Cricetulus griseus: one gene and its partners. The protein of the gene in region 1 interacts with the protein of each later gene in a biochemical or structural test. Links are inferred from orthologs where the notes say so. Each region holds a gene or a part of one and is shown in the gene's direction. Other genes may lie near its edges. The genes, in order: Pml, Daxx, Sp1, Pin1, Chek2, Eif4e and Mapk7.

Region 1 (3,500 bases):
CCTCTTACTGTCTTCTGCTTCTTTAATGTTGGTGATTGGATGTTGAGGGAACAGAAGCAGAGGCACTCATCCTTGTCTACAGGGAGTTCCTGGCCTAAGTAGAATGACAGCCAGCACTTTCATAGCTATAAAGGCAAAGATAAGATGCTTAAACTTTTTGCTCTTGTTCTGAGGATCGAATCTGGGGCTTGGCACATGGTAGGCTTTACCATTGGACTGCCTGCCCAGCCTCATATATAAGTTTGCATTTGAACATCTACCTTTAGTACTTTTTTTTGGGGGGGGAGTAGTACCTAAGAGTAGAATTGGTAAGTCATGTGGTAATTTATTTCTTTTTATGTTATGTGTATAAGTGTTTTGCCTGCAGGTAAGTGTACCATATGTGTGCAGTGCCTGCAGAGGCCAGAAGAGGGTGTCAGGTCCCCTAAAACTGAGGTTACAGATGGGTGTGAGCTGCCATGTGAGTTCTGGGAACTGAACCCCGGTCCTTTGCAAGAGCAGCCAATGCTCTTAACCTCTGAGCCATCTCTCCAGCTCCCTTTTCACTTTTTGAGAAACTGCCCCTGCTTCCATTTTGATATAGATACTCAAAACACTGAGCACCAAGTCTGACCTGGAATAGTAATAAAACTGTGACATTCATTAGCCATCTTTATCACCCCCACTAGTGGAACCCTCTGTGTACTACATACTCTTTTAGATATGTTGAAGGTGTTTGGCCCGTTTCAGCCATATCACCATATGAAGCAAATGTTATTATCCCATTTTTTGGAAGGAGACTGAAGTCCAGTGAGTTTTAAATTATCCCAATGTGTAGCAGCTGCTGGACAGAGTTAAGACTTGGGGTTAGTGTCAGGCCCTGTCTGTATTAGCCCCACGTTGAGGGGCCCTATGTTGAAGACTGATGTTGGTGGGGGGGGGGGGAGCTGCGATCCGAACAAACCGAATGGCCCTGGGTCCATTCCTGAGTCAGGGAGTGTGTGATGAGGGAAGACTAGCTATCCTGGTTAAAGAAAAGACAGAGACATAAGATCATATCAGGAGGGCAGTGAGTTAATAGTCAATGTGCCCAGTTTATTCATACATCATCTTAAGTAACCATCCAAAGGTGGGGACAATGGCAGAAGACATCTATTATCTTGTATAAACGGCAGATAGTAATTACTTCCCTTAATCCTAAAGACACTCATAGCTGCACATACACTTGGCTGTCAGGCACGCCAGACCAGCACATATCACTAGCCTTAAGGATGAGTGTAAAACTCACCTTGGCCTAGGTCTATTGTTATTTAGATAGGAGCTATTCACCACAGAGGCCAGGATATCCTGCAGCCATTAGCTGACATCTTAAAAACAATAGAAGTCCAGGCTCTCTGAACTCTACTGTACTCTGCTGGGTAGAGGCAAGCTCTGGGAGGCTGGGCTTGGATTTTCTCACTGCTGCAACTCCACCACTGTTGAGGTGCTGCTCTCAACAGGAAGCAGCTTGTCTCTAGAGGCATGCAAGCTAGGCTAGTTGTCAGGCATGTTCTGAGGAGTTGGCCTTGTGGTCCCTGAGGTGTCTTCCTGCCCTGTCAGGAAATTGAAGTGGTGCCTGGGTACCAGCAACCCAAGGTCAGAAGGAGGTGACATCATGGAGGGTTCGGGAAAAACTACTTGTCCCAGACCTAGAAGCTTATAAGTGAGGCAGATTGTTAGGCCCAGGGTCCCTGGCCATTTCTGACTTTTTGTTACCTGATTTTACAGCCCAATGAAGTACAGAGGGAACTGGCACAGGCCCTGAATATGTCTGAGACCCACTCTGTGGCTGTGGTACAGTCAGTGCCTGGAGCACAGCCTGTGCCAGTGTATGCCTTCTCTATGAAAAGCCCCACCTATAGAGAGGTAAGTCCTCCTACTCAGCCCAGCCTCATCTGAAAGGGTCAGACTCCAACCAACAGTGAGGCACAGCTGGATGAGAATCTGTGCCTTCCCAAGGTCTTTATTTGCTCAGATTGTGCCCCGTGTTCTCCGTGTTCTCCGTTGGCCTGGGATGCTCCCCTCCCAATAAGCCTGAGCCACTCTCAACCCAGTTGAGATGCTGACACAGCCAAAGCCATGAGGTCAACAGAGATCCTTGGTCAGTGTGCATGGCAACCCAAAAGAGTTTCCTGTTTGCAGAGATATGGTCACCAAGGCCAAAGGAACAGGAGCAAAACCATGCCACAAGCCCCTGGCACTCACCTCAGGGTCCTCAGCCCAACAACACTGGAGACACCTGAATCACCCCTATAACTCTCCACTGTGCAGGAGGCTTCTCAGACAGTCACCCCCAGGAAGAGGAAGTGCTGCCACAGGAATTGCTCTGGGAAGATCATCAAGGTGGAGTCCACAGAAGAGAATGAGGACAGGTTGAGCACTAGCTCCCCTGAGCAGCCCAGGCCCAGCACTTCCAAGGCCATCTCACCTCGCCATGTGGATGGGCCTGCCAACACTGATGAGAGTCCAGTCCTAGAAGAAGACACCCTCCTGCTCACCAGCAACCTTGTTACCAGTGACACAGGGGAAGCAGGTAGGGAGATCAGGCAGGCTGGTACTTGGGTAAGACCCTCATTCCCCCATCTCACATTCTAATCCCACATGGGCACTCAAAGTCACCAGGATTCCCTTGTACACATTACTCTGAGCTGCCATTGAGTATGGTGGAGGTCATTTACACTGTACTTTGCTGTGATTCCAGTGTGGGACACCTGAGGACCTATGCCCTAGTTCTGACTCCTTTCCTTCAAACTCGGCCAGTGCCAAACACTGTGCCTTAGAGATATATACACTCCATCTCCTCCTGATGCACACAGGTCAGGGCATCTGTCACCTCCAGCTTACAAGGACTCTCCTGGGTGGCCACTTCTCACCCCAGCCAGTGGACATTTCAGGAAGGACTTAATGCCACCACTTCCTCTCCATTTCAGAAGAGCCAATTGTGGTGATCAGCAGCTCAGAAGACTCAGATACTGAGAATCTGGTGAGTAACTTGGAGTTCAGCCTAGGACTCCTGCCTCCCCTCATTTAAAGCCCCAAAGGCTGCAGTCACAGCAGGTGACTCTCAGGCTCATCTGGCACATGGGAAAATTTCCAGCAAGGCAATAAAAAGCCTCTAAACTGTACCAAGGAGAGTCTGCAAGTAATGACTGCATGTTTATTGAACCATAGCCCTCTCATGGCATCAGGCAAGAGTGCCTCTGAAATGCTTGCTAGACTGCTTCCTTCAGGACCTGGCTGTCCTCTGGAATATCCGAAGCTCTTTTCTAAAAGCTTCCTTATATATTTTCTATCTGCTAAGTTCTCCATGAAAGCTGGACAAGAGTTTATTTCCCGGTTAATCAATGAGCCAGATATAGTGGTTCACTCCTTTAATCCCAGCACTTGGGAGGCAGAGGCAGGTAGATATAGATCCCTGTGAGTTCAAGCTTGGTCTAGTCTACATAGTGAGTTCCAGGACAGTCAAGGCTATGTAGAGAGAT
Region 2 (4,098 bases), on another chromosome or scaffold:
CATACATGCTGGCAAAACACCCGCACACGTAAGACAAAGTTCTTCTGAGTAATTGGAATTATTGCAAGAACAGAAGTGACCAGACAGCGTAAAGCTCATGTTTATGTGTATTCATTATATAATGTATTCTGGTCATTGTCACCTCTATTGTCACTCCCCCACCCCCCTCTGGCTCCCATGGAAGCCCCCACCCCCACTCAGCACTTTTCTCCATCTTCCAGCTCTTACATTTATTCTTTCAACCTCCTAGTCTTCCAAGTTCTCTCAGAGCCTAGGACTTGCTGTCAGCTCGTGTAACTGCTGTTTAAAAGTCTATCTATTTGACTTTGTATGGGTGTTTTGCCTGCATACATGCATGGTCATTATGAGCTCGCCCTACTGGATGCCCGGGGACTGGGGCTACAGATGACTGCTTCACTATGTAAAGGCAGGGTCCCCCTTCTCACTTTCCCAGGCACTCACATTGTGCACAGAGACTTACAGGGACACACACACACACACACACACACACACACACACACGAGAAAATAAATAATTGTGGAAAAATAGGGAATCTTTGGGGCTGGAGAGATGGCTCAGAGGTTAAGAGCACTGGCTGGTCTTCCAGAGGACCTGAGTTCAATTCCCAGCACCCACATGGTGGCTCACAACCACTTGTAATAGGATCTGATGCCCTCTTCTGGCCTGCAGGCATACATGTGGACAGTGCACTCGTACCTAAAAAAAATCATTAAAAAAAAAAAAAAAGAAGATAGGGAATCTTCATTTCAGGCATCCACTCAGGAAAACCCATTCTGAGAAACCCACGGATAAGGAAATTATATTCATCATCTTCAGATGATAATCAATGATTAACCATTGAAGAACTTCCTTTCCCCATTTAAATGCCGTAAGCTAGTTGGGGCACCGGACAGGAGGCGGGGTGCGGCAGGGTGCTCACCGACCCGGCTTCCCCACGGGCACCCCTGCGGGCCTCACCTGCCGGCCCCTTTTCTCCGCAGCTCTCCGGGAGGAGGAGCCTCCCTTCGCGTCCCGGCGCTGCCAGCGGCGGCCTGCGAACAGTTCCTCACTTGTGCAGCTGGCTGAGCTCGTTGGTGTGCACGCGTGTGAGCGCCCGGGGCGGGTAGGGCGAGCGCGGGCGAGCGTGGGCCGCCAGGAGTGCTCGCGGCCGAGACTCGCGAGGAGGGAGCGTCAGGCTGCCCCGCAACCCGGGGCAGGGACACCCGCTTTCACTTTGTCGTTCCCTGGAGCCCGCTCCGTAGGTGCCCCGCGGGGGCGGGGCCGGGGCCGGGGGCGGGGCCGGGTCCCTTCCCCTCGCAGGAGCCGGGGCTCGCCCAGACGGCGTCGGGGAGGCCCGAGGCACGGAGTTCCTGACTGGCCGAGTGGCTTCGGGCCGCTCCGGGTGCGAAGAGCCCCACGCCTTCCCCGAGGAAGGTCCGTACCGCAACATGGCGCGCCCCACCTCCCCGGGCTCCGCCCCGCCTCCCCGGGCCCCGCCCCCTCGGGCGCCGCGAGCCGCGTCCTGGGTGGGTTGGTCACGCGGCACTTCCGGCTCGTGGGGCGGACCGCGTTCCGTACAGCAACATGGCCGCCCCCAGGTGTGGTGGGCGGAAGCTCCGCGGCTTCCGGTCCGTCGTGGGGCCTGCGGGGAAGGGAAGGCGGAGGGAACCATGCGAGGTTCTTTGATCCGCGGTGAGGACGGCCTCGAGAGACCGTTTCAGAGGTGGGGGCCGGGCCCTCGTGCGCGTTTCGGGGTGGCGGTGGCAGTGGCGGTGGCGGAGGCGGAGGCGGTGGCGGTGGCGGTGGGGCCGGCGTGGCGAGAGCGAGGGGCCGGCGGGGCCTGGGGGCCGCGGGCTGCCTTGCTGGCAGTCGAGGGGAGTGAGGCGGCCTGGTCAACGGGGGGAGGGGCTCCTTGGCGGGAAGCTGAGCCGGGACCGGCGCGGATGGGGCGGGAGCCCGGGTGCCAGGCGTGCTCGGCGGGGGGCTCGCTGTCGGTTACGGCCGCGGAGAATTGCGGGGCGAGCCGGGGTGCGGTGAGAGGGCGGGGACTCGGGGTGAAGGTCTCCAGCCCTCAGGTCCCGGGTTGAGGAAACCCGGTGGGAGGTGGAACGCGGAGGGGACTGGAGGAGGGGACGGGCTTCAGCTGGAGTCAATGAGTTGGACTTAGGGTGGTGGCTCAAGCCTTCTAATCCTAGCGCTCGGGCGGCAGAGCTCTTGAGTTCGAGGCCAGCCTGGTCTACAGAGCGAGTGCCAGCATAGCCAGGGCTGTTACACAGGGAAACCCTGCCTTGAAAAACAGAAAAAGGGAAAAGCTCGAAGCGCTTCCATTGTGGTGTTTGAGGGAGACGGTGGAACCGACAGGGTGTTGGGTTTTGTAGACAGGGTCAGGGGAACTCAAGAGGCCAGTGTGGACGTTGTCCTGGGATAAGAAGAAACTTCCCAGCTGACACAGAGGGGAAAACAAAACTGACAGACCGGAAATTGACGGAGGGGTGGAGTTCAGGGTGGGGATTTAAGATGATCCGGAGGTTTGCTCCCCAGAACTGCTTGAAACTGGTAGTTGTTGAAGACGGGCTTTGAAGAGGGTTAGGGCAGGACTGAGGGTCCCTGCTGGGGTGGGGCTCTGCAGGAGGGGCTCTTCCTGTGGTCCCCTTGTTCTAGAATTCTGACTTTTCCAACACTTCCTCCCTTAGGGGGATTTGATCCCCCATGGCCTCCGCTGACAGCATCATTGTGCTGGATGACGACGATGAAGATGAAGCAGCTGCTCAAGCGGGGCCCTCACAGCTCCCCTCCAGTCCTGTCTCACCAGGGCCAGAAGCCTCTGGTCCCTCTGAGTCCCATGGGAATGGAAGAAGCCGTAACTCAGGTGGCAGGAAGTGCTACAAGTTGGAGAACGAGAGGCTGTTTGAAGAGGTAAGCTTCAGAGAAGGCGCCTTTTGTTTTTGAGACAGGGTCTCACTGTGTCACCCTGCCTGCCTGGAACTGTCTAGATGAGGCTGGCCTTGAACCCACAGAGTTCCACTTGCCTCTGCCTCCTGAGAGCTGGGATAAAAGGTGTGAACCACTATGACCTGACAGGGAAGATGGAAGGAAAGGGGGATTGGCTCTCTTGTTCTGATTTTCCCACTAATTCCATTTTTTTTTTTAAATGCCTTCCTGTCTCCCACCCTTTCCACGAACTCTTCAGTTCCTCGAACTGTGTAAGGTACAGACATCCGACCACCCTGAGGTGGTTCCATTCCTCCACAAACAGCAGCAGCGTGCCCAGTCTCTGTTTCTGGCCTCTGCAGAGTTTTGCAACATCATGTCCCGGGTTCTGTCTCGGGCTCGGAACCGGCCAGCTAAGCTGTATGTCTACATTAATGAGCTCTGCACTGTTCTTAAAGCCCATTCAAATAAGAAGAAGCTGAACTTGGCTCCTGCACCCTCCACACCCAGTAAGCCCTCTGGTGATAACCCTCCCACAGAGTCCTCCTCTGAACTTACAAATGCTGAGAACACTGCCTCCAAGGCCTCAAGGACCCGTGGTTCGAGGAGGCAGATCCAGCGCTTGGAGCAGCTGCTGGCGCTGTATGTGGCAGAGATACGGCGGCTGCAGGAGAAGGAGTTGGATCTCTCGGAGCTGGACGACCCTGACTCCACGTATCTGCAGGAGGCCCGTCTGAAGCGGAAACTGATCCACCTCTTTGGGCGGCTGTGTGAGTTGAAGGACTGCTCCTCCCTGACTGGCCGGGTCATAGAGCAAAGAATCCCCTACCGTGGCACGCGCTACCCAGAGGTCAACAGGCGCATTGAGCGGCTCATCAACAAGCCAGGGCCTGATGCCTTTCCTGACTATGGTGACGTGCTGAGGGCTGTGGAGAGGGCGGCCACCCGGCACAATCTCGGCCTTCCCCGACAGCAGCTCCAGCTCATGGCTCAGGATGCCTTCCGGGATGTGGGCGTCAGGTTACAGGAGCGCCGACACCTCGACCTCATCTACAACTTTGGCTGCCACCTCACAGATGACTATAAGCCAGGTAGGAAGCTGTTGGGATGCCTCCTAGGGGTCCTTTAGGTTACGTGGGCTACGCCCCTGACCCTGCTTTCTCTTTT
Region 3 (3,363 bases), on another chromosome or scaffold:
AAATCCTGAACAATTTATACGTGAAACAGTGTGTCTCAAAGAGCACTTGGATTAATCTGGAAGGTTTTAAGAAGGAGCTCCATTTTAAATGGGACTTTTTAAAAAGGTTTTTTCATTTATTATATATACAGTGAGGGCACCAAATCTCATTCAGATGGTTGTGATTGCTGGGATTGAACTCAAGACCTCTGGAAGAGCAGTCTATGCTCTTAACCTCTGAGCCATCTTTCTAGCCCCCCCCCCTTAAGTGGGATTTGAAGGATAAATATCAACCCAATCTTTATTTTGACTACTTTTGAACTAAGTTATCTTTTGCTTTTTTTTATTTAGGTGAGAAGAAATTTGCGTGCCCTGAGTGCCCCAAGCGTTTCATGAGGAGTGATCACCTGTCAAAGCATATCAAGACCCATCAGAACAAAAAGGGAGGCCCAGGTGTCGCCCTGAGTGTGGGCACTTTGCCCCTGGACAGTGGGGCAGGTTCAGAAGGCAGTGGCACTGCCACTCCTTCAGCCCTTATTGCCACCAATATGGTAGCCATGGAAGCCATCTGTCCAGAGGGTATTGCCCGTCTTGCCAACAGTGGCATCAACGTCATGCAGGTGACAGAGCTACAGTCCATTAATATCAGTGGCAATGGTTTCTGAGATTAGATACCTAGAGCCAGAGACATATGGGCCAATACCCACCAAGCCTGGGATGCAAGATAGCATGGGTCCAAGAGACATGTGGAAGAGAGAGCCATGAGGCATTAATGTGCTTGGTGGTGGGAAGAATTGGGGGAGGGTACAAGAGAAGAGATGGGATTGTGGCACCAATCTGTCACTGGTGACTTCTTGAAAATGGAAAATATTAGTGAAATTTCTGTTGGTGCCACCCTTTGATAAGCATTTATTTCATCCCAGGTTCTTCTTACACTTCTTACCCCAGCCTCCCCTTCCTGCGTTTCCCCTCTGAGCTCTCCCATGATGGATCCCCACTCCCCACCCCCAAAGCCATCATGCCTTGATAAATATATATGATCATTGAAATACTTTTTAACAAAAACAGATTCTATATTATATATATATATATAAAAAATATATAGAGATGCTTTCACAGGGGTTGGCTGGGAGGAGGAAAAAAGACCATTTTGTGACCAAAAAATACCTTGGTCATTTTTTTTTTTTTTTTAATATTGCCTTATTTCTCAATGGCTGAGCCTTATCATGACACATCAAGCTTTTCTATAAATGTTGTCCTGGCATCCCACCAGAGTAAGCAAATGCTGTGCTTTTAGTTCATATATACATACATAATGTGTCTTCTTCCTTAATTTTTGTCATTTTATTTGGGATCAGCTCCTTGCGCTCCTTTCCTGACTCAGTCTTTTTTTTTTCTCCCCTTCTCTCACATGATCACTTCCTGTGTTGTTTTTGACAATGATCTCTGAATTAGGCCCTTCACTCATTATTTTAAAGAGCTTAGTTCCAACTGCAGAATGGACAGCCTTGAAGTGCAGCCTGATGCTTGAAGTAGCTATGGGGAGTGTTATTACTACTGACGCAGGCACCTTCTCAGTGCTGGAGAGTCAAAACCATTTCCCTTTGTTAGCTGCTCTAAACATCCGGAGTCAGAAGTCTCTATGTGGAATTGTTTAAAAGGCCCTTGGAGAGAGATAATCTGGGATCAGTGTGTATAAACTGTCAAAAAATGGTCAAATAGTAGGCAGCAGCTTTTAGTAGGAAAAAGATGTTCTCAGAAAAGAAAATAACTCAGTCTCAGTTATTGGAATTATTTGGATTTCAGTATCATTGTCTTCCAAATAGCCCTAAGCCTTAATGTAGGGGCTTCTGAGTTCACACACTGAAAGGAAGTACACTTCCTCTTTTGAACATTTCTGTAGTTCTTGTTAATGTTTGAATGTTAAGGAACATTAGCCAGCGAATCTGTTCTGACTTTTCATGCTGTAGAATGCAAAACTTGTGCCAGTGACAAAAGAATAGTTCTTTAAAAATTTTCCCCCTTAACTCTTCCTTATATGTACGTGGGTGTTTGTAAGGGAAAGGGAAGCACACAATCATGGGAACGATGGCCCAGAACAAAAAGAAATCTTGTCTTACCACTGTGGATTATAGGAGAGATCGGGAGAAATTATCCTGCTTTTTCCATGGCCTGATTCCAGAAGTGACTGATCCAAAAATTATATCGGCAGGGAAACTCAGTGCATTTGACACCGAGACTTAAATGCAACCAGAATTGTCCTCAAGGCCCAGCCATTAAAGCATTGTCTCTCTTGACCTTCTGGTATCTTGTCAGAGAGCCTTTCACTGTGAGGAAGTGTGGAAGTGGTTGTGTGTATGTGTGTAATCTATTAGGTTGGGGATAGGTTTTCTGTTAGCCAATATTTAAAGAGACCTGCAATAAAAAATTACCCTGATCTGATAGAGAAAGTAAATTGTGTATGACTGTGTGTATGAATGGGTGTTTGTGCCTGTATATATCTACGTGCAGATGAGAACTTATATTTGAAATTGTTGGAAAGTAAATTCAGATTAAAATGCCTTTCAGGCCTGTTACCTAGGAATTGGTTATAAAACTTGGGTATGTTCTTGAGGTCAGTTCTCTGCTTATGCTAAATCAGTTACAATTATGAATGGGGTGGGGGATCTCCTAGTGCACTTTCTAAAGAAGAAACTATTTTTGTGTTTGAAAATGAAATCAACATCCAAATCTATAGCAGAGTCCTTGTTTTAAACTCTTCTTTATCTTGGCTACAAATAGATTATACTATTATTATACATTTTATGTGAATTCCATCTAAACTAGATTCTTGGTAAGTTTGTGGTGTTGTTAGTCTGAAATACAAGAGCTGTTAATCCTGTAACATTAGTCTATTTCATTTGGTCCTTTCTGTGCAGACTTAATACTGTTATCAAGACTCAGGAAATAATATTTTAAGGCATTTTTCCCAGATCACGTTATTAATGTTGAAGTAAAAGTTATCTGTCCTCAGTCACCATGAACCTTTTATCCCCACAGAAAAGCAGAACTCAAACCTTGTTATTTTATGTCTATAATCATGTACTATGGCATCTCTGGAGGAAGGGGCAGGCAGGATAACTCACTGGAGTGTGCAGTATTTTGCTAGATCATTTCAAGGAATAGAATCTTGTTCAGTGTGAGGTGATTAGATAATGATGCCAAGGACTATAAGCCTGTAGAGAAGTTATTTGATAGTGTTTTCTCTCTTGGGTGAAAAGCTGATGATTTACACTCAACATCTGCTTCATTAACATTACCATGAATTAATTTGCATCAGACCTCTTCTACTTTTCCTATTTTCTTCTCCAGTGTCTTATTTGACCCTAAAATGGGAGCAATTTC
Region 4 (4,138 bases), about 36 Mb from region 1:
GCATAAAGCAACATTTGTAAAGTGTTATGCTTTGCCTGCATGTATACATGAATGTGCACCATGTGCAGACCTGGTGAACTGAAAAGGTCCTCTGCAAGAGCAGTCCAGGCTCTTTTTTGGTTTTCGAGACAGGGTTTCTCTGTGGCTTTGGAGGCTGACTTGGAACAGCTCTTGTAGACCAGGCTGGTCTCAAACTCAGAGATCCGCCTGCCTGCCTCTGCCTCCTGAGTGCTGGGATTAAAGGCGTGCGCCACCAACGCCCGGCTCAGTCTGTGCTCTTAATCACTGAGCCATCTCTGTAGCCCTCCGCAGACCTTTTTCCTTCTCTCCTTTTTCTTGGGGGGGGGAGGGTTGTTGCTTTTGTTTCATTTGAGACAGGGTTTCTGTGTATAGCCCTGGCTGTCCTGGAACTCATTTCATAGACCAGGCTGGCCTCTGCCTCCTGAGTGCTGGGAATGCACCACCACATCAGTTTCCTCCACAGACTATCAATTGACTTAAGCCTATTCCTTTTCTTCATCCTAGTGATAATGCCATCGCCCAGCCCAGGAACCTAGGAAGGAGTCAGGCAGAGAAGGAATAAGTTGAAGTAGGTTCTAAAGAAAACTTGGAAAGTGGGTAAAATGATTAGCCTTGGGGCTGTAGAGATGGCTCAGAGGATAAGAGCATTGCCTGCTCTTCCAGAGGTCCTGAGTTCAATTCCCAGCAACCACATGGTGGCTCACAACCATCTGCAATGAGATCTGGTGCCCTCTCTAACCTGCAGGTCTACATGTAGGCAGAACACTGTATACATAATAAATAAATCTTTAAAAAGAAGAAAGAAAGAAATGATTAGCCTTGCAAAACCCAAAAAGGACTGGCGTCGCTTTGGAGGAAACAGGTGGGAAGAGAACCAAAAAGCCAAATTTAGGCTTTGGGCACTTGGCTTCTTATCACCAAGGCAACTGAATTGCTATGGCAACGGCAAAATACAGCAAAAGTACCGAATACCTCCCTACCAGCGAGCCGCTTCCGCGTGGAGGCTGGCCGACCTCCAAGAACGGCTCAATAAGGCGGGATTGGTTGCCGCAGGAGCCAATCAATAAGCTCTACTCTGCGGGCTAAGCCCACCAAGAAGGTTGCAGAGACCTTTTGACGCTTAAAGGAATCCTGAGCGTTCAATGGGCGACGCTTCCAGGTGGGCCAATCAGCGGCGGTGTCGGGACGGGGGGGCGGAGAGTGTGCAGGGGCGGTCCAGGAAGCCGCGAGTGAGCCCAATAAAATGCTAGCGCTCTAGCGGCGCCGTGGGGCCGTCCAACGGGCGTCTGAGCCGGGCGAGCCAATCGACAGTGGCGCTGGGCCGGCGCGGGGTCACAGCTGCGGAGGCGGAGCGGGGCGGAGCGGAGGCGGGGCGGGCGCTGCGGCAGGAGGGAAGATGGCGGACGAGGAGAAGCTGCCGCCGGGCTGGGAGAAGCGCATGAGTCGTAGCTCAGGTACGTCTTGGGGGTCGGCCAGGGACCGGGCCGGGCCGGGCCGGGCCCTCGCGAGATTGCAGAAGGCGGGCCCGAGCTCACGAGGACAGGCGCCCTGCCTTAGGCGTGAAGGTCTGGGCTCCGCGGCGTAACGGGCCCGGAGAGCCAGAGACCGAGGCAAGAGGTGGGGCGGGCACGGGCACGCCGGCCCGTCGCTCACCACCGGGCCGGACGTCCTCAGGACACTAGGCTGCACCGCGGGGCTCCTTTGGGAGGAGGAGACCCGACCCGGTGCCTCTAGAGGGCGTGGGCCGCCCTGATTTGGGTTCTGGGGCAGCATCTGTGACACGTGCCGGCTCATCTCCAGCACGGGATCCTGCGACAGCGCTGGCTTAAAGGAGCTCAAGTTCGTTCACAAGTCTGTACGTCCCCCACCCTCCCTAGATCCCTTCATCTCCGTCCTGCCCCCCCCTCCTCTCTCCCTCCCTCTTTCCTTGGCTCATCCTCTCCCTTTCCCGGTCTCCCCTCTCTCTCTCCCGTTTCTCTGTCGTGCCCGTCTTTCAAGGGATGGTTTGCTCTCATTTTTCTAGTGAGGGAACTGAAGCCAGGACACGCAAAGAACTCGCCAAATGATGCAGTTCAGGGACTGGGAATGCAGTGAGTTCCTACCGCCAGAGTCCCCTTGCCAGTGTCAGTGGCAACGCCCTGAGGAGCGGATAGGCATCTCCGGTAGAACCAGGGTCCTGCTGCCTACAGAGCTCACTTATTCTTATTGAGCACCAGGGTGCTGGACACTGTATACATTAGCTCTCTCTGAATTAACGCGGCTAGGTTTAATGTGTCTTTCACCCTTTTGTTTGGGAGGGGGAGGTGAAAGGGTGTTAGACTGGATCTCACGTGGACAGGTTGCTAGATCCTCCTGCTTTAGCCCTTCAAATGTTGGGATTATAAGCATGCACCACTTTGCCCAATGTATTTATTGAGACAGAATCTTTATTAGTAATATTAGTAGTAGTATATTTTGTGTGTATGCTTGTGGAGATCAGACAATAACTTTTGCAGGAGGTTTTTTTTTCTTTCTTTCACCATGAGAGTACCTGAGATCAAACTCACATCCTCAGACGTGGCTGCAAACACATTTACCCACAGCTATTTTCTTTCTTTTTTCTTTTTAAATTTGAGAGGGGGGGGGAGAAGACTAGTCTTGAACTTGCTTTCTTGAACCTCTGGTCCCCACCCTCACCTTTCTGAGTGCTGGGATTACTATCACACACTAAGATAAAAGTCTTGCTGTGTAACCAAAGCTGGCTTCTAACTCATGGTTCTTCTGCTTCAGCCTCTCAAGCACTGAGACTACACTCATGTGCCACCATGCCTAGTTCTGATGTCCTTATTCTCTTGCCCCAGTTTTTCAGATGAGAAAGCTGAGGTTCAGGGAGATGGCCTATTGTATTTAGCCCTAGAGTCCTTGCTCCTATCCAGGCTGCTCCATTCCTGGCCTAAGCATAAACATACTTCTAGGTGGGTGTGGTAGCACGTAGATAAATTTCCAGTACCTAAGAGGCAGAAGCAGGAGGTTCTCCAGTTCATAGTTATCCTGAGCTACATAGACTTTTGTTTTGTTTTTGTTTTTTGAGACAGGGTTTCTCTGTGGCTTTGGAGGCTGTCCTGGAACTGACTCTTGTAGACCAGGCTGGTTTTGAACTCACAGAGATCCACCTGCCTCTGCCTCCCGAGTGCTGGGAAAGACCTGAGCTGCCACCACCCAGCCATCCGGCCCTTCTTGATGCTGAGTCACCTATGTAACCCAGAAAGACTCTAAGCCCTTGGAGTGACCCAGAATCTACTGGGTCCTTCTTTCAAGCTCCTGCCATGTCCCTCACTGCCCCTCCTCTTTCCTCCTTCACTATTTTTTTCCTGTTTTTTTTTTTTTAATTTTTTAAAATTTAAATTAGAAACAAGATTGTTTTATATGTCAATCCCTGGTCCCTCTCCCTCCCCTCCTCCCCTGCCCCCTTTTCCTGTTTTTTGTTTGTTTGTTTGTTTTTTGAGACAGGGTTTCTCTGTTTAGCCCTGGCTGTCCTGAACTTACTCTATAGACCAGGCCAGTCTTGAACTCAAAGGTCCCCTTGCCTCTGCAGCCCAAGTGCTTGGATTAAAGGTGTGTGTCAACACTGCTTGGCTAGCCTCGAATTTGTGATCCTCCTGCCTCCACCTCCTTCAGCAAATCCTACATGTGTATACCACCACAACCAGGTCTCCTTCACGTTTTTTTGAGACAGTCTTGCAAACTTACCCAGACTGGCTTCAAACAGCAGACACCTATCCTCTTGCCTCAGCCTCCCTAGTTCTAGACTGTGCCCCATCAAGCCAGGCTTTTCCCTTAAGCTTTTGAGTTACCTTCTTTATGCTCCTCACTGTCACCTAGATGTCCCTTAGATGACATCAACCCCCCCAGTAATGCTGCTTTCTTGCTCTTCAATTTAGGCCACCAGGGTAAGGATTAAGAATAAAGTTTTGGGCCTGGCAGTGGTGGCGTGCGACCTTAATCCCAGCACTCCGGAGGCAAAGGCAGGTGGATCTCTGAGTTTGAGGCCAGCCTGGTCTACAGAGCGAGTTCCGGGGCAGCCAGAGCTACACAGAGAAACCCTGTCTTGAACCCCCCCTCCTTTGAGGTATCTGCC
Region 5 (4,099 bases), about 79 Mb from region 1:
CATCAAACTCATTGTATAGCTCGGGTTGCCCTCAAATCTGTAATCCTGCCTCACCCTCTGAGCTCACAGGCATACATCAACACAGACGACTTGTTTTATTTTTATTGTCTCCTTTAAAATATTTACTTATTTGAGATGAGAATGTTCCCTATTTTTGTGGTTGGGCACCTACTGGGGATCCTCCTACTTTAGTCCAGATGCTTTTAATCCTAGCACTGGGGAGGTAGAGTCAGAACTACAAGTTGAAAAACAAACTCTGCTCCTTTTTCCTCCCTGGAGTTCAGCCTCTGGAATCCCCTTTTCCAGGAGCCCGCCCCTCAAACCTCCCTATACTGTAAACTTGAGCCTGTTCCCTTTTGTTGTTGCTGATGTTTAAAAACAAAGCCTTTGTAGCAGAGGCTAGTCCTGAATTCCTTAACCTCCCACTTCCACTTCCCAAGTGCTTACATTGCAGGCATCTGCAAGTTTACGCTTTCATCCCCGCCTCCACCCTTACCTTCTTTCCAGTCTGTAACTTGATTTCCTCTTCCTCTCAGGCAAACTCCTAAAATCTCAGCAGGTCCTATATTATACAAATGACCTATATACTTTTTTTTTTTTTTTTTTTGCTTTGTTCGTTTTGAATGAGTCTCGGTAAGTTGCTTAAACTGGCCTTGAACCGTGGTCCTCCTGCCTCAGTCTTCCAGCTGGCTGGAAATTACAGGCCCGCCGGCGAGGACCCAAGTCGTAAGCACCAGGGTAACGCCTGCCTAATTTAACTAACTCGGCCATCCGAGCTCCCCAAGACCGACTCGCCCTCCCATAACTCTGCGCCGCGCGTACCAATTCATGAGGCTGAAGTAGTCCCGAGTCGGGTCAGGTGGCTGCAAGGCGCGGCAGTGTTCGCAGAAGAACCCATCCCCACTCTCCACACCCCCAGCGCTGCCGCAGTTCCAGCACTGGCCCGCATTGCTCTTGCCCGAGGCAGCGTTGCTGCTCAGCAGTCTCCTTCCCAGGAACCCAGCTAGTCGCACCTCCCACACGCAAACCAAAGCACGGGCCCGGCAGCCCCACATCCGGACAGCCGCCCGTCTGGCCTGGGTCGAGGGACTCGAGGGAAAGGAAGCAAGAGTGACTCGTTGCTGATTGGTTTAGTGAGCCGAGGAGGCGGGATCAGCCTCGGTAAAACAGGATGCCGAGTCCCGTTCTGCATCCTAAACTACAACTCCCAGCAAGCCTTGAGGCTAACGCATGGCAGCCACATTCGGGTCTTCTTATTGGTCGTGCCGAGCAGAAAGGCGTTTTGATTGGCTGAGGGTGGAGTTTGCATGGGTAGGTTTAGCGCCACACCACTGGTTGCGGCGGTCTGGGGTGTTTGTGGCTCCAGGTGTTCTTTCGCGGTGAGTTTTAGCGGGAAATTTTTCTTGCCTGTCTGAGGATTCGAATCGGGTCTCAGGGTCTTCTGCAAAGGGGCCCTTCGCAGCTTCCGCCTGGTCTGTGTGTGCAAGAGAGCTCTGCACGCAGGCGACTCTTCCTTGTTTTTTAGCTGCTCTTCGAGGGGGACATTCTCTTGTTATTTACAAGCTGAGACATGGGAAGGCACAGAGTTGGGCTCTTCAATGCCAGAGAGCGAAGTAGTTTCATAGCGAGTATTATAAATGTTAGTGATCATGCCAGGTCCCCGATTCATTCTTCCCAAATATTTACTGAGAACCACAAACATCGCTGCTAGGCTCTGCAGGAACTGGAGTGAGTACGTAAGGAAGTGTGTGGGGTAGGGTGGCAAGGAGTGGATAGGAAGCAACCAGCCATTCTCAGCTTCTCTACACGCTAGCGCTGTGTAATTGGCCGATAAATTCTGTTCGTGATCCTGAAATTTTGCTGTGGTCACTTTTTTTAAAAAAACTCATCAATGATTCTGCCCTTCTGAGGTGATCATAATATGCCTGTTCCTTTTATAAAAAATTTATTTTTAAAAATCATGTGTCTGTGTAAGTCTGTACAGTGCGCAGGGAGGCCAGCAGAGGGCAGTGCATTCCCAAAGAGCTGGAACTACTGGCATTTGTATGCTCCTGGATGTGGGTGCTGGGAACTGAACTCAAAAAAGCAACGTGCTCTTCTTAACCGCCGCGATGTCTCTCCAGTCCCTAAGTATACCCGTTCTCCGCTTCGTATGTTTGGTGGTACTCGGCATGGAATCCAGGACTTTGCGTCTACTATTGAGTTATATTCACATTCTTCACTTAGCTTTGGGTAAAGATTTATTTTTAATTATATGTTACGTGTGCAGGAGTATGCTCACGTGAGCGCAAGTGATTTCAGGGGCCACGAGAGGACTTCAAACCCACTGGAGTTGGAGTCACAGGCAATCTTGAGCTTCCAGACTTGGGTGCTGGGAACTTACTGAACTTTTGGGTTCTACAAGAATAGTTCTGTTCTTTGCTGCTGCATCATCTCTCCAGCTTCCATTCCTCGTTCTTGAATTTTAGGCCTCGCTCCTTGAATCTCCCCTCATTGTTGGACTCTGTTTTTGAGGTCGGATATGAAGAATCAGCAGTCCCACAGCAGTGGTTCCTGTTCACAGTCCCAGGGTGGCTTCACTCAGTCACAAGGCACTTCCTCTCAGTTACACGACCTCTCCTCACAGTCTCAAGGCACATCCAGTTCCTCTAGCGGCACAGTGTCATCCTCCAGCCAGTCCTCTCATTCCAGCTCTGGGACACTGAGCTCTTTAGAGACAGTGTCCACCCAGGAGCTCTGCTCTATTCCTGAGGACCCAGAACCTGAGGAGCCTGGTCCTGCCCCTTGGGCTAGGTTATGGTCTCTTCAGGAAGGATTCTCCAATCTGGGTAAGGCATTTTGTTATATAGTATAATGTATTGTTCAGGGAAACAGGGGTGGTGGTTAGATTGTTGCAACAGAAATCTCAGGGCCCCTATAACTGGTTAGAGGTGAGAAAAAAGTTAAAAAAAAAAAAAAAAGTGGAGGCTGTGGTGGAGTGCCTGGGCTGCCATTACCTGCCATGTACTCACTGTTATTTCTCCTCCTGGTTGATCCTCGTGCAAAGAATCAGACTTAGGCCTTATGCATGGTAGAGTGAGCTACATCTGTTGTTCCATCCCTAGCTACCTTATTTTTATTATCAAATAGAATTTTTTGAAATTTCATAGGCTGGCCTCAAAATTTATCTTTTTCTTTCATTTTTTTTCAGAGAAAAGGTCTCATAGCCTGGGCTGGCCTTGATCTCACTATGTAGCTGAGCTTGACTTTGAACTCTTGATCTTCCTGCTTCTATTTCCCAAGTGCTGGCTTTATACGAATATATTATCAGGCTCTACGAGACAGGGTTTCTCTGTATAGTCTTGGCTGTCCTGGAACTCGCTCTGTAGACCAGGCTGGGCTCCGAGTGCTGGGATTAACGGCATGTGCCACCACCGACTGGCTACTCATTATTTTTGAGACAAGAAATTCTGCAGCCTAGGTAGGTTTGCAATTCACTATGTAGTTCCTCATGGCCTTGAACTTGCATCGAACTTCTTGTCTCAGCCTACTGAGTAGCTGAGATTACACATACCAGGCATACCTGGTTCAAATTTATAATTTGTATGTGGATATCCGGTTGATCCAGAGCTATTTCTGAAAGATACTTGTATTATTCAGGGTTCTCTAGAGGAACAAAACTGTTAGAACTGATATTCATTATTATATTTCATTTTTTAAAAAATTATTTATTTTGTGTGTATTGGTGTTTTACCTGCATGTATATCTGTGTGAGGGTGTCAGATCTTGGAGTTACAGACCCTTGTGAGCTGCCATGTGGGTGCTGGGAATTGAACAAGGGTCCTGTGGAAGAGCAGTCAGTGCCCTTAACCGCTGAGTCATTTCTCCTGCCCCCTATACATTCATTCTTATTCTAGTGGTTTACAGGCTGTGGTCCAGCTAGTCCAACAATGGCTACCCATGGGAGGTCCAAGAATCTAGCAATTACTTGTTCAGTTCATAAAGCTGGATGTCTCAGCTGGTGTTCAGTATACACCATGATCCTGTTGAAGTAGGCTTTACTGCCGGCGAAGGAATGCCCTTGCCAGTAAGAGTGAGAGCAAGCAAGAAAGAGAACAAA
Region 6 (4,153 bases), on another chromosome or scaffold:
TTAAATTTAACGTAAACTCTCTTGACAAGTTCTGGTATCTACTTCTGAGTCTTATACTTTTCTCTACCAGTATTAGGGGAAAATAGTATGGGCAGTAATAGAGGCAAAACTGAAAAAGACCCTAAGCAATAAAACAGTAATATGTTCTATGATATTTCAGTTACATTCAAGTCTTGGATTGTGTTAAAACCACAACTTAGTGTCTTTAGAGTTTGTTCTAAGTCAGTTCTGAGTTGTTGATATGTTTAAGGTGGGGTACCAAGTGAGGTTTAGAATACAGAGTTGTACAAAATGTGGTCTGTACTTGTTCCTTAGGAGCCTGGTTTGGGTCAGAGTTGAAATATTCCTAGTGATAACTCTGTTGTGAAAGTTGCATTGAAGCTAGTTGGAGATAGTGTGCAGAGTGGCATTGAGGTACTTGTTTTTCTTTTTGTAACACCCCTGCCTTTAGACTACTCATGGTATTTTTAATATTTTTGAGATTTGCTTTTGGAGCCCAGCCTTGGTGGTGCATGCCTTTAATCCCAGCACTTTGGAAGCAGAGGCAGGTGGATTTTGAGTTCCAGGACAGCCAGGGCTACACAGAGAAACCCTCTCCTGAAAAACAAAGCAAATAAACAACAACAACAGATTTGGTTTTGGTGCTTGATTTTCAGCTCAGAGCCTGGTGTACACTAAGTTCATTCTGCTACTAAACTACGCTGGTGCTTCTTCAGTTTCAGATCTTTTTATTTTTTTTAAAGCAGCTGTTATATTTTACTATTGGACTGCAGTTGAGGAACTGTGTTAAAGCTTGTAAAAGTCTTACTTGGTTATTGCTGTGTGTGTTTCTTTAGTTTTTTTTTTTTTTGTAGTGTGTTGAATTGTAAGCACCTGGAGCAGTGTGGTTCTCAGCTTGTAGTCCTGACCCCTTTTGGGGGATTAACAACCCTTTCAACAGGGGTCAGCTAAGAACATCTGAAAACACAGGTATTTACATTTCTACTCATAAAAGCAAAATCACAATTATGAAGTAGCATCAAAAGTAATGTTATGGTTGGGGTCACCACAGCATGAGGAACTGTATTAAAGGGTTGCAGGATTAGGAAAGTTGAGAGCAACTTACTTAGTCATGAGTAGGTGATACTTCTCTCCTTACATATCCAACCTTTTATAAGTATTTGTCAGTATTTCCAGTAATCTATGGAAAATCCATAAATGATCATTTTCTTTTTTGTTTGTTTTTCTAGACAGGGTTTCTCTGTGTAGCTTTGGTTCCTATCCTGGCAATCACTCTGGAGACCAGGCTGGCCTCGAACTCACAGAGATCCACCTGCCTCTGCCTTCCGAGTGCTGGGATTAAAGGTGTTCGTCACCAACGCCCCTCGAATGATCAGTCATTTTCAATCAGTGTTTGAGGTTAGTTATGCAAGTAATGGCTTACAGATAGAGATTGAGACGTTCAAAGGGGAAATATATTGCTTTACAGAACCTGTGGAAAATGGTTGCTCCTCTTAGTTTGGAATTGAGGAAAGTCAAAATTAGACTTAGTGAAAATGGTAGACCATGTCCTTGATGGTATTCTATGGGTTCTTCCTTTTAGATAGCTTACTTTTCTTCTGCTGTTTTTCCTGTTATTTAAAAAATGTGTTTTTTTGTGTGTCTGTGTGTAGGTCTGGAACTTGTGTCTGTCTGTCTGTCTGTCTGTCTGTCTGTCTGTCTGTCTTGGAACTCCATAGATCAAAGCTGGGAGTTCTGCCTTTTTAGCATTGGGATATATACAGGTGCACAACATCACACCTAGTCCAGATATTTCCTCTCTTTATACTTAGCCTTGCTTTTAAAATAAGACTGGCAAACATGGAGAAGCCAGCTGTGGTGGTGCATGCCTGTAACCTGAGGACTCACTCAGAAGTGGAGGCAAGAGAACTGTGAATTGGAGCACAGCCTGGCCTACATGTCATACCTTGTCTTAAAGCAAAATAAAGTCTAAGAGAAAAGGTCCACTGAGATAGATAGCTTAGGGGCAAGGGTGTTTGCTGCCAAACTTGAGGGTCTGAGTTGGAGACTAGAACCCTCAGGTTGCAAACAGGACCTCTTGCAAATTGTCCTCTGATCTCCAAGTCCACACCAAGGCAAGTGCACACACATAGAGAAATAAATAAGTAAATATATGTGTGAAAAGCTTAAAAAAAAAACAAGGAAAAGCACTAAAAGTTATAAAATGTATCAACCGAAAAGCTGTTTATTGGTAAGCAGATTGACAATTTTTTTTTTTAATTGAGAACTCATTTTTTGTAATTTATTTATTTATATTTTGTGTGCATTGGTATTTTGCCTGTATGTATGTCTGTGTGGGAGGGTATCAGATCCCTGGAACAGGAGTTAGACAGTTGTGAGCTGCCATATGGGTGTTGGGAATTGAACTCAGGTCCTCTGGAAGAACATCCAGTGTTTTTAACCACTGAGCTGTCTCTCTAGCCCTAAAAGTTAAATCCATGCTTCATTTCATTTTATTCATTTAATGTGCATTGATTGGTGTTTTGCCTGTGTAAGGGTGTCAGGTCCCCTGGACCTGGAATTACAGACAGTTGTGAGTTGCCGTGTGGGAAATTGAACCGTTTCCTCTGGAATAGCAGCCAGTGCTCTTAACCACTGAACCATTTCTCCAGCAGGAACTCATTTTATTAGTAACTTTGTTTAGTTATTTCACATTTCACTTCACTTTATACTCTGAATCTGTGTGATTGTTTGACTTAGAAAAACGAAATGTGGATATACACTTTATGCATCATAGTTACATAGAATCAATTAAAATTTTTCAGATTGGCTTAATCCAGATTGAACAGAAAGTCCTGAGCAATAGCACTTTCATGACACACTTAATTTCTAAGACTGTGGCTCACAACTGGGGGGTGAAAACCCTTTCACAGGGGTTGCCTAAGACCACCAGAAACATATTTATGTTGTAATTCCTAGAGTAGTAGAATAACAGTTATGAAGTAGAAACAACAATAACTTCATGGCTGGGGGTCACCACAGCTTGAACTGTATTGGTGGGTCACAGCATTGGAAGGTTGAAAAACCACTGTTCTAGAAGGCTAAAACTATAAAGGTCAGTAGAAGTACCAGCAGCCCTCTTATAATAGGAGACATGTGCAATAGTTATCGTGTCAATAGTCATTGCTCCTTTTCCTTCCCTGCCACACTGGAGACTCGATTCTGTTACATTATGAGTTGTGCGGTCTTTCTCAGGGAGATGACTGAGGAGTGGGATTAAGCATGGCTTATACAGTCTTGTTTAAATTTTCCTGGGAGTGGGGAACATTGAAATTTCTTAGTCCGGGTAAAAATGGGAATCAAATAGCTTAATTTTACCCTGATTTTTAAATGGAGTATTGGAGATGATATGTGTCACTTGTGTGGATCTAATGTTTGTACTCAATCAAGGTTCGGCACCTCTCTGCATGCGCACATCTTGTGCTGGAAAATTCTTGTCAGTCCTTGGCCATTATTAGCAAGCAATGTGAAATCTATGATCACAGCTCAGGTATTGTCGACTTTCCTGTTTTTACCAGAGTCTAGTCACATCTAGAGAAGAAAGGATTGCTTTTCATCTAAAAAAAAAAAAAAAGGTCATTTTTTTTTGTCTTACAGTCAGAAACAAGTAGTTGTCTCTGAATGTGTGTTCCTCTTTGTATATTGTAATTTTAAAAATACATTATTCCATGGAAATTGATGGGAGGCTTAGGTGGACTACAAGCCTGACTAGTATTTCCAGGAATGTGGATTTAGTGTTCTAAGCAAGTAATTTTTTAAAAAATGACCTTTCAGTCACCGCCTGTTTGTAACAACTGTTTGCTTTTGTAGCGACTATTTTTAATAGAGGCAGATCTTTATTAATTGCTAACTTAGTGTGTTGGGCCTCAGAGTAAGTATTTTATATATATTCATTTATTGCTTGCAGCAGTTCTGTTAGATGAGTGGAGTTATTCTTAATTCACAGATGAGGAAACCTTTAAGGCAGCCGAGTTCTGGCTGTGCTTGTAAGCATCACACTGCTATCTGCTGGGCATGGAGGGTAACTTGAGAAAGGGAGCTTAGTGTTGATAAGCTTTCTAGGGCTTTGTTTCAGCTCTAAGATTTGTGCAGACAGACTTTAAGACGATGCTTA
Region 7 (4,125 bases), on another chromosome or scaffold:
TGAGTATTATACCAGTGCAGTTATGCTGGGCTTTTTTATGGGTGCTGGGGATCAGAACACAAGCACTGTCTCCCCAGCTTCCTCCTCAATATCCATGGGTGTAGTAAAACAAAATGCAATGCCTACTTTTCTATTTTGATGTACATTTCATAATAAAACTCCTGAAACCCCTAAGTATAGATAATGAGTAACAACAGCCACAGACCCAAAAATCTGTCCTAGAAACCGAAAGGACTTACTGTTTTGAAACAGGGTTCACCGTGTAGCCATGGCTGGCCTGGAACCCAGTATGTAGACCATGCTAGTCTTCACAGAGATTCGCCAGCCTCTGCATCTCCAGTGCTGGGACTAAGGGTGTAAGCCATCATGCCCAACTTTTTAAAAACATTTAATTTAAATCAAACATGCGTGGAATAAGTTTGTGAAAATGTATTGATGTGGGAAACTTTCTGCATGTATTTTGTTACAAAGTACAAACATAAACACCTATGTATGTACACTTGCCAAAATTCATTTCTGGTCGGGACCCAACCTTCAGCTTTTAGTTGAGAACTGCGTAATATATGTTAACCGGGCACTCAGAATTTACTTAGTTTCATCCCAGTTTCTCCCTCCACATTTTTCTTGTCTCACTGAGAAACCCAGACCTCTTTGGAGTGGGCAACACCCGAGCTGCTACCGAGAACCTTTCCAGCGCTGGGGTTAACAGCGCTCACTTTTGCCTTCTCCGGATGACCCATCCGTAGCGGGATGGCGAGGAAAGGAATCATAGGGTGAGGGCTCTGTCGCGGTCCAGAGGGCGTGTGCATCCAGGCCTGGGACGCTCTAGAATCCGGAGGACTTGGGTCTCCGTGGCTACTACTCCGGGACCGGGCGTCCAGAACTTCCGGCGCCAAAAGAGTACGATGCAAATCCCTTAGGAGATGAGGCTAACAAGAGGAGCCGAAAGGAAAGGGAGGGGTGCGGAGCTTGTTGTCTAGGTAACAGCTCCCCCCCCCCGCCCCTTCCCGTATCTCCACCCTTTCGGGTTTATGGAGCCCGTAGGCCCTGACGTCCAGGCAAACGTAGCAGTGTTTTGCCCTCCCTTCTCCCAGCTCCAGAGGCTGCTAGCACGCATGCGTCAGTGTTGCGGGGATGCGCGCGCATCCCTGAGGTGCGCGCATCACCCCTTGGGCGGCTCCCGCCGCGAGCTGGACAGCGAGGAACGCGCGCGCGCGCGCGTGCGTGCGAGACAAGGGCGCGGCTTCCTCGTCCGGTGAATTCCGATTGGATAGAGTAAAATGAAGAGGCGGGAACCTCTACGGGGATCGCTCAATGATTGGCCAGAGACTGGAGGAGCGTGGTCCCGGGGTGGCCGGCGGGGTGGTCTGGCCCGGCGCGCGCGAGGCTGAGGTGGTAGCTGTGGCCCTTGATAAGTGACCGAGGCCAGGGGAACACTCTCGTCGCTACGTTGGCAACACCTGGGAACCCCAAGTCCCCGAGCAGGCGGCAGGCGTGGCGGCGAGGTGCCGGCGGGTCGGTGAGTGCGGTCCCGGGAGCCCCAGGGCCCCGCCCCTCCCTTTCTTCCGGGGCCGCGCCGCACCCCCTTGAGCCCCTACTCTCGGGACACAGGGTTCGCCGCGCCAGCCGCCCCCTTTCGCCTGCTGAGCAGGTTCTGCCTCCTAGCTCACAGAGGGGAAACTGAGGCCGTCAGGGCGGTCCCCTCACCAGGGTCTCCACATACACCATGGCTGAACCGCTGAAGGAGGAGGACGGCGAAGACGGCTCTGGGGAGCCCCCTGGGCGGGTGAAGGCAGAACCCGTCCACACGACGGCCTCTGTCGTGGCCAAGAACCTGGCCCTGCTCAAAGCCCGCTCCTTCGACGTGACCTTTGACGTGGGGGACGAGTACGAGATCATCGAGACCATAGGCAATGGGGCCTATGGGGTGGTGTCCTCGGCGCGCCGCCGCCTCACGGGTGAGCTGGCTTCCTGAGGCTCAGCATGTGTGGACTGCTTTCCAGAGGCGGTGAGGAACCCGCACGGTCCCAGGAGGGGTCCCAGGAGGGTCAGCTGCGCCGGGGACTCTGGTTCCACTCATCACTTACCGACTAGGTGCCAGCTCCCCGCTAGGTACCCTTCTCAGGGACCCTGCTTCTCCCAGTCAGCCTATACTTCCTCCTTAGGATAATGATATCCCTATAAGCCAGAATAGAGAGGTGCTCCTTGGTGTCCAGAAAGATAACTTTTAGAGCCAGAGATTGGCACAATGGCTTGGTGATGGAATGGGGAAGATCTGGGATGGAGAGCATATGTGAGGAGGGAGAGTGAGCTCAGGTAGTACAGTCAAGGCCACTGCTAACTATCTGTGTCTCCTCTGTATGTGAGCTATTAGTACCTGCCTCATGAGGTAGTTGTGAAATTAAAGTTTGGTATATGTTACACACAGGGTCTTGCACATCGTAGGTACCTGTTGTTACTTGGGTTCTAGAAGAGCGGTGTTAAAAGGGGCCTGCAATTACTTCAAGGTACTCTCTGGTATATGTCTTTCTCATGCTCTCCAGGCCAGCAGGTGGCCATCAAAAAGATACCCAATGCTTTTGATGTGGTGACCAATGCCAAACGGACCCTCAGGGAACTGAAGATCCTCAAACACTTCAAACATGACAATATCATCGCCATCAAGGACATCCTGAGGCCCACTGTGCCCTATGGAGAGTTCAAATCTGTGTAAGGAGTGGGGAAGGAGAAGGAGACATTGTTGGGGCCAGTTTAGAAGCCCAGGGCCAATACTGATGTTCTGGAAGGGCATCTGAACCTAATGTGAGACAGGCTGGGAAGAGTCCCATGACTCAAGGACCAGTGAGTGTTCCTGTAGAACATTGGTAGGGATGGTTCTTGTTTCTCAAGAAGAGTACAAGGGCTGGGGATGTAGCTAAGTGGTAGAATCATGAGCATCTTTGAGGGGGTTTTGTTGTTGTTTTTCAAGACAGGGTTTCTCTGTGTAACTCTTGTTGTCCTGGAACTCACTCTGTAGACCAGGCTGGCCTCAAACAGCAATGCACCTGCCTCTGCCTCCCGAGTGCCACTACCACCTGGCCCACATCTTTGAGGTTTCAGGTTGACTCTTCTGTATTGGAATAAAAAAAGGGAGGGGATATATTTCTTTATTTGGGCATGCCAATTTTGCCTATGTAGTAAGTTTAAGGCTAGCTTGGACTACATGAGACCCTATCTCATAAGACAAAACAAAAGACCCAGACAACAACAAGAGAGTGAGAGAAACAGAACAGGTCCAGATTTTATAAGATAGCAGACACAGGACATTGTTGTGTCATGATACCTTCCTATTCTTATGGCAGATATAACTAATTAGTCACAAAATACTTTTTTATTTGTTTGTTTGTTTGTTTTTTGAGACAGGGTTTCTCTGTGTACCTTTGGAGCCTATCCTGGCACTTGCTCTGTAGACCAGGCTGGCCTCGAACTTACAGAGATCCGCCTGCCTCTGCTTCCCAAGGGCTGGGACTAAAGGCGTGTGCCACCAACGCCCAGCCAACTTTTAAGCTTTTTGTGATGTAGAAAAATCTAGAACCTGATGCTATTTTTTTTTATATCATCTGCTAGTCCTTTAGGGTTTCAGTGTAAGGCCATAATATCTAGAATTGAGAGGAGGGCTAGTGAGGATTGTGCTTGTCCCTGTAATATGAGACCAGCTCACACCTTTTGTCACCATTTCCAGCTATGTAGTACTGGACCTCATGGAGAGTGACCTACACCAGATCATCCACTCCTCACAGCCACTCACACTGGAGCATGTGCGATACTTCTTGTACCAGCTGCTTCGGGGCCTCAAGTATATGCACTCTGCTCAGGTCATCCACCGTGACCTTAAACCCTCTAACCTTTTGGTGAATGAGAACTGTGAGCTCAAGATTGGTGACTTTGGAATGGCCCGTGGGCTGTGTACCTCCCCTGCTGAACACCAGTACTTCATGACTGAGTACGTGGCCACTCGCTGGTACCGTGCCCCTGAACTCATGCTTTCCCTGCATGAGTACACACAGGCTATTGACCTCTGGTCTGTGGGCTGCATCTTTGGTGAGATGCTGGCTCGGCGACAACTCTTCCCAGGCAAAAACTATG

The links.
Region 2: the proteins of Pml (region 1) and Daxx form a complex in vitro, tested with the Homo sapiens proteins (2 studies listed by BioGRID, with this or other methods). The link is inferred for Cricetulus griseus from reciprocal best matches to the Homo sapiens genes PML and DAXX.
Region 3: the proteins of Pml (region 1) and Sp1 form a complex in vitro, tested with the Homo sapiens proteins (2 studies listed by BioGRID, with this or other methods). The link is inferred for Cricetulus griseus from reciprocal best matches to the Homo sapiens genes PML and SP1.
Region 4: the proteins of Pml (region 1) and Pin1 form a complex in vitro, tested with the Homo sapiens proteins (2 studies listed by BioGRID and IntAct). The link is inferred for Cricetulus griseus from reciprocal best matches to the Homo sapiens genes PML and PIN1.
Region 5: the proteins of Pml (region 1) and Chek2 form a complex in vitro, tested with the Homo sapiens proteins (2 studies listed by BioGRID, with this or other methods). The link is inferred for Cricetulus griseus from reciprocal best matches to the Homo sapiens genes PML and CHEK2.
Region 6: the proteins of Pml (region 1) and Eif4e form a complex in vitro, tested with the Homo sapiens proteins (4 studies listed by BioGRID and IntAct). The link is inferred for Cricetulus griseus from reciprocal best matches to the Homo sapiens genes PML and EIF4E.
Region 7: the proteins of Pml (region 1) and Mapk7 form a complex in vitro, tested with the Homo sapiens proteins (2 studies listed by BioGRID and IntAct, with this or other methods). The link is inferred for Cricetulus griseus from reciprocal best matches to the Homo sapiens genes PML and MAPK7.

The regions. Positions count from the first base shown.
Region 1 is NC_048597.1:169,831,143-169,834,642, reverse strand, and holds part of Pml (protein PML), read left to right. Parts: intron 1-1,746; coding exon 1,747-1,884; intron 1,885-2,289; coding exon 2,290-2,551; intron 2,552-2,834; coding exon of another isoform or gene 2,835-2,923; exon of another isoform or gene 2,924-2,948; coding exon 2,949-3,001; intron 3,002-3,500.
Region 2 is NW_023276806.1:232,098,472-232,102,569, reverse strand, and holds the start of Daxx (death domain-associated protein 6), read left to right. Parts: upstream 1-1,298; 5' UTR 1,299-1,434; intron 1,435-1,568; exon of another isoform or gene 1,569-1,723; intron 1,724-2,693; 5' UTR 2,694-2,709; coding exon 2,710-2,916; exon of another isoform or gene 2,917-3,057; intron 3,058-3,190; coding exon 3,191-4,022; intron 4,023-4,098. UniProt on the Homo sapiens protein: Transcription corepressor known to repress transcriptional potential of several sumoylated transcription factors. Down-regulates basal and activated transcription.
Region 3 is NC_048595.1:398,805,496-398,808,858, forward strand, and holds the end of Sp1 (transcription factor Sp1), read left to right. Parts: intron 1-330; coding exon 331-644; 3' UTR 645-2,863; downstream 2,864-3,363. UniProt on the Homo sapiens protein: Transcription factor that can activate or repress transcription in response to physiological and pathological stimuli.
Region 4 is NC_048597.1:133,534,173-133,538,310, forward strand, and holds the start of Pin1 (peptidyl-prolyl cis-trans isomerase NIMA-interacting 1), read left to right. Parts: upstream 1-1,338; 5' UTR 1,339-1,417; coding exon 1,418-1,475; intron 1,476-4,138. UniProt on the Homo sapiens protein: Peptidyl-prolyl cis/trans isomerase (PPIase) that binds to and isomerizes specific phosphorylated Ser/Thr-Pro (pSer/Thr-Pro) motifs.
Region 5 is NC_048597.1:90,621,420-90,625,518, forward strand, and holds the start of Chek2 (serine/threonine-protein kinase Chk2), read left to right. Parts: upstream 1-1,299; 5' UTR 1,300-1,379; intron 1,380-2,468; 5' UTR 2,469-2,521; coding exon 2,522-2,828; intron 2,829-3,190; exon of another isoform or gene 3,191-3,460; intron 3,461-4,099. Other genes in the region: iron-sulfur cluster co-chaperone protein HscB, read right to left, coding at 823-1,055. UniProt on the Homo sapiens protein: Serine/threonine-protein kinase which is required for checkpoint-mediated cell cycle arrest, activation of DNA repair and apoptosis in response to the presence of DNA double-strand breaks.
Region 6 is NW_023276806.1:21,046,142-21,050,294, reverse strand, and holds the start of Eif4e (eukaryotic translation initiation factor 4E), read left to right. Parts: upstream 1-1,353; 5' UTR 1,354-1,368; coding exon 1,369-1,398; intron 1,399-4,153. UniProt on the Homo sapiens protein: Acts in the cytoplasm to initiate and regulate protein synthesis and is required in the nucleus for export of a subset of mRNAs from the nucleus to the cytoplasm which promotes processes such as RNA capping, processing and splicing.
Region 7 is NC_048600.1:75,495,193-75,499,317, reverse strand, and holds the start of Mapk7 (mitogen-activated protein kinase 7), read left to right. Parts: upstream 1-1,325; 5' UTR 1,326-1,519; exon of another isoform or gene 1,520-1,710; 5' UTR 1,711-1,726; coding exon 1,727-1,958; exon of another isoform or gene 1,959-1,983; coding exon of another isoform or gene 1,984-2,008; intron 2,009-2,072; exon of another isoform or gene 2,073-2,094; intron 2,095-2,543; coding exon 2,544-2,709; intron 2,710-3,721; coding exon 3,722-4,125. UniProt on the Homo sapiens protein: Plays a role in various cellular processes such as proliferation, differentiation and cell survival. The upstream activator of MAPK7 is the MAPK kinase MAP2K5.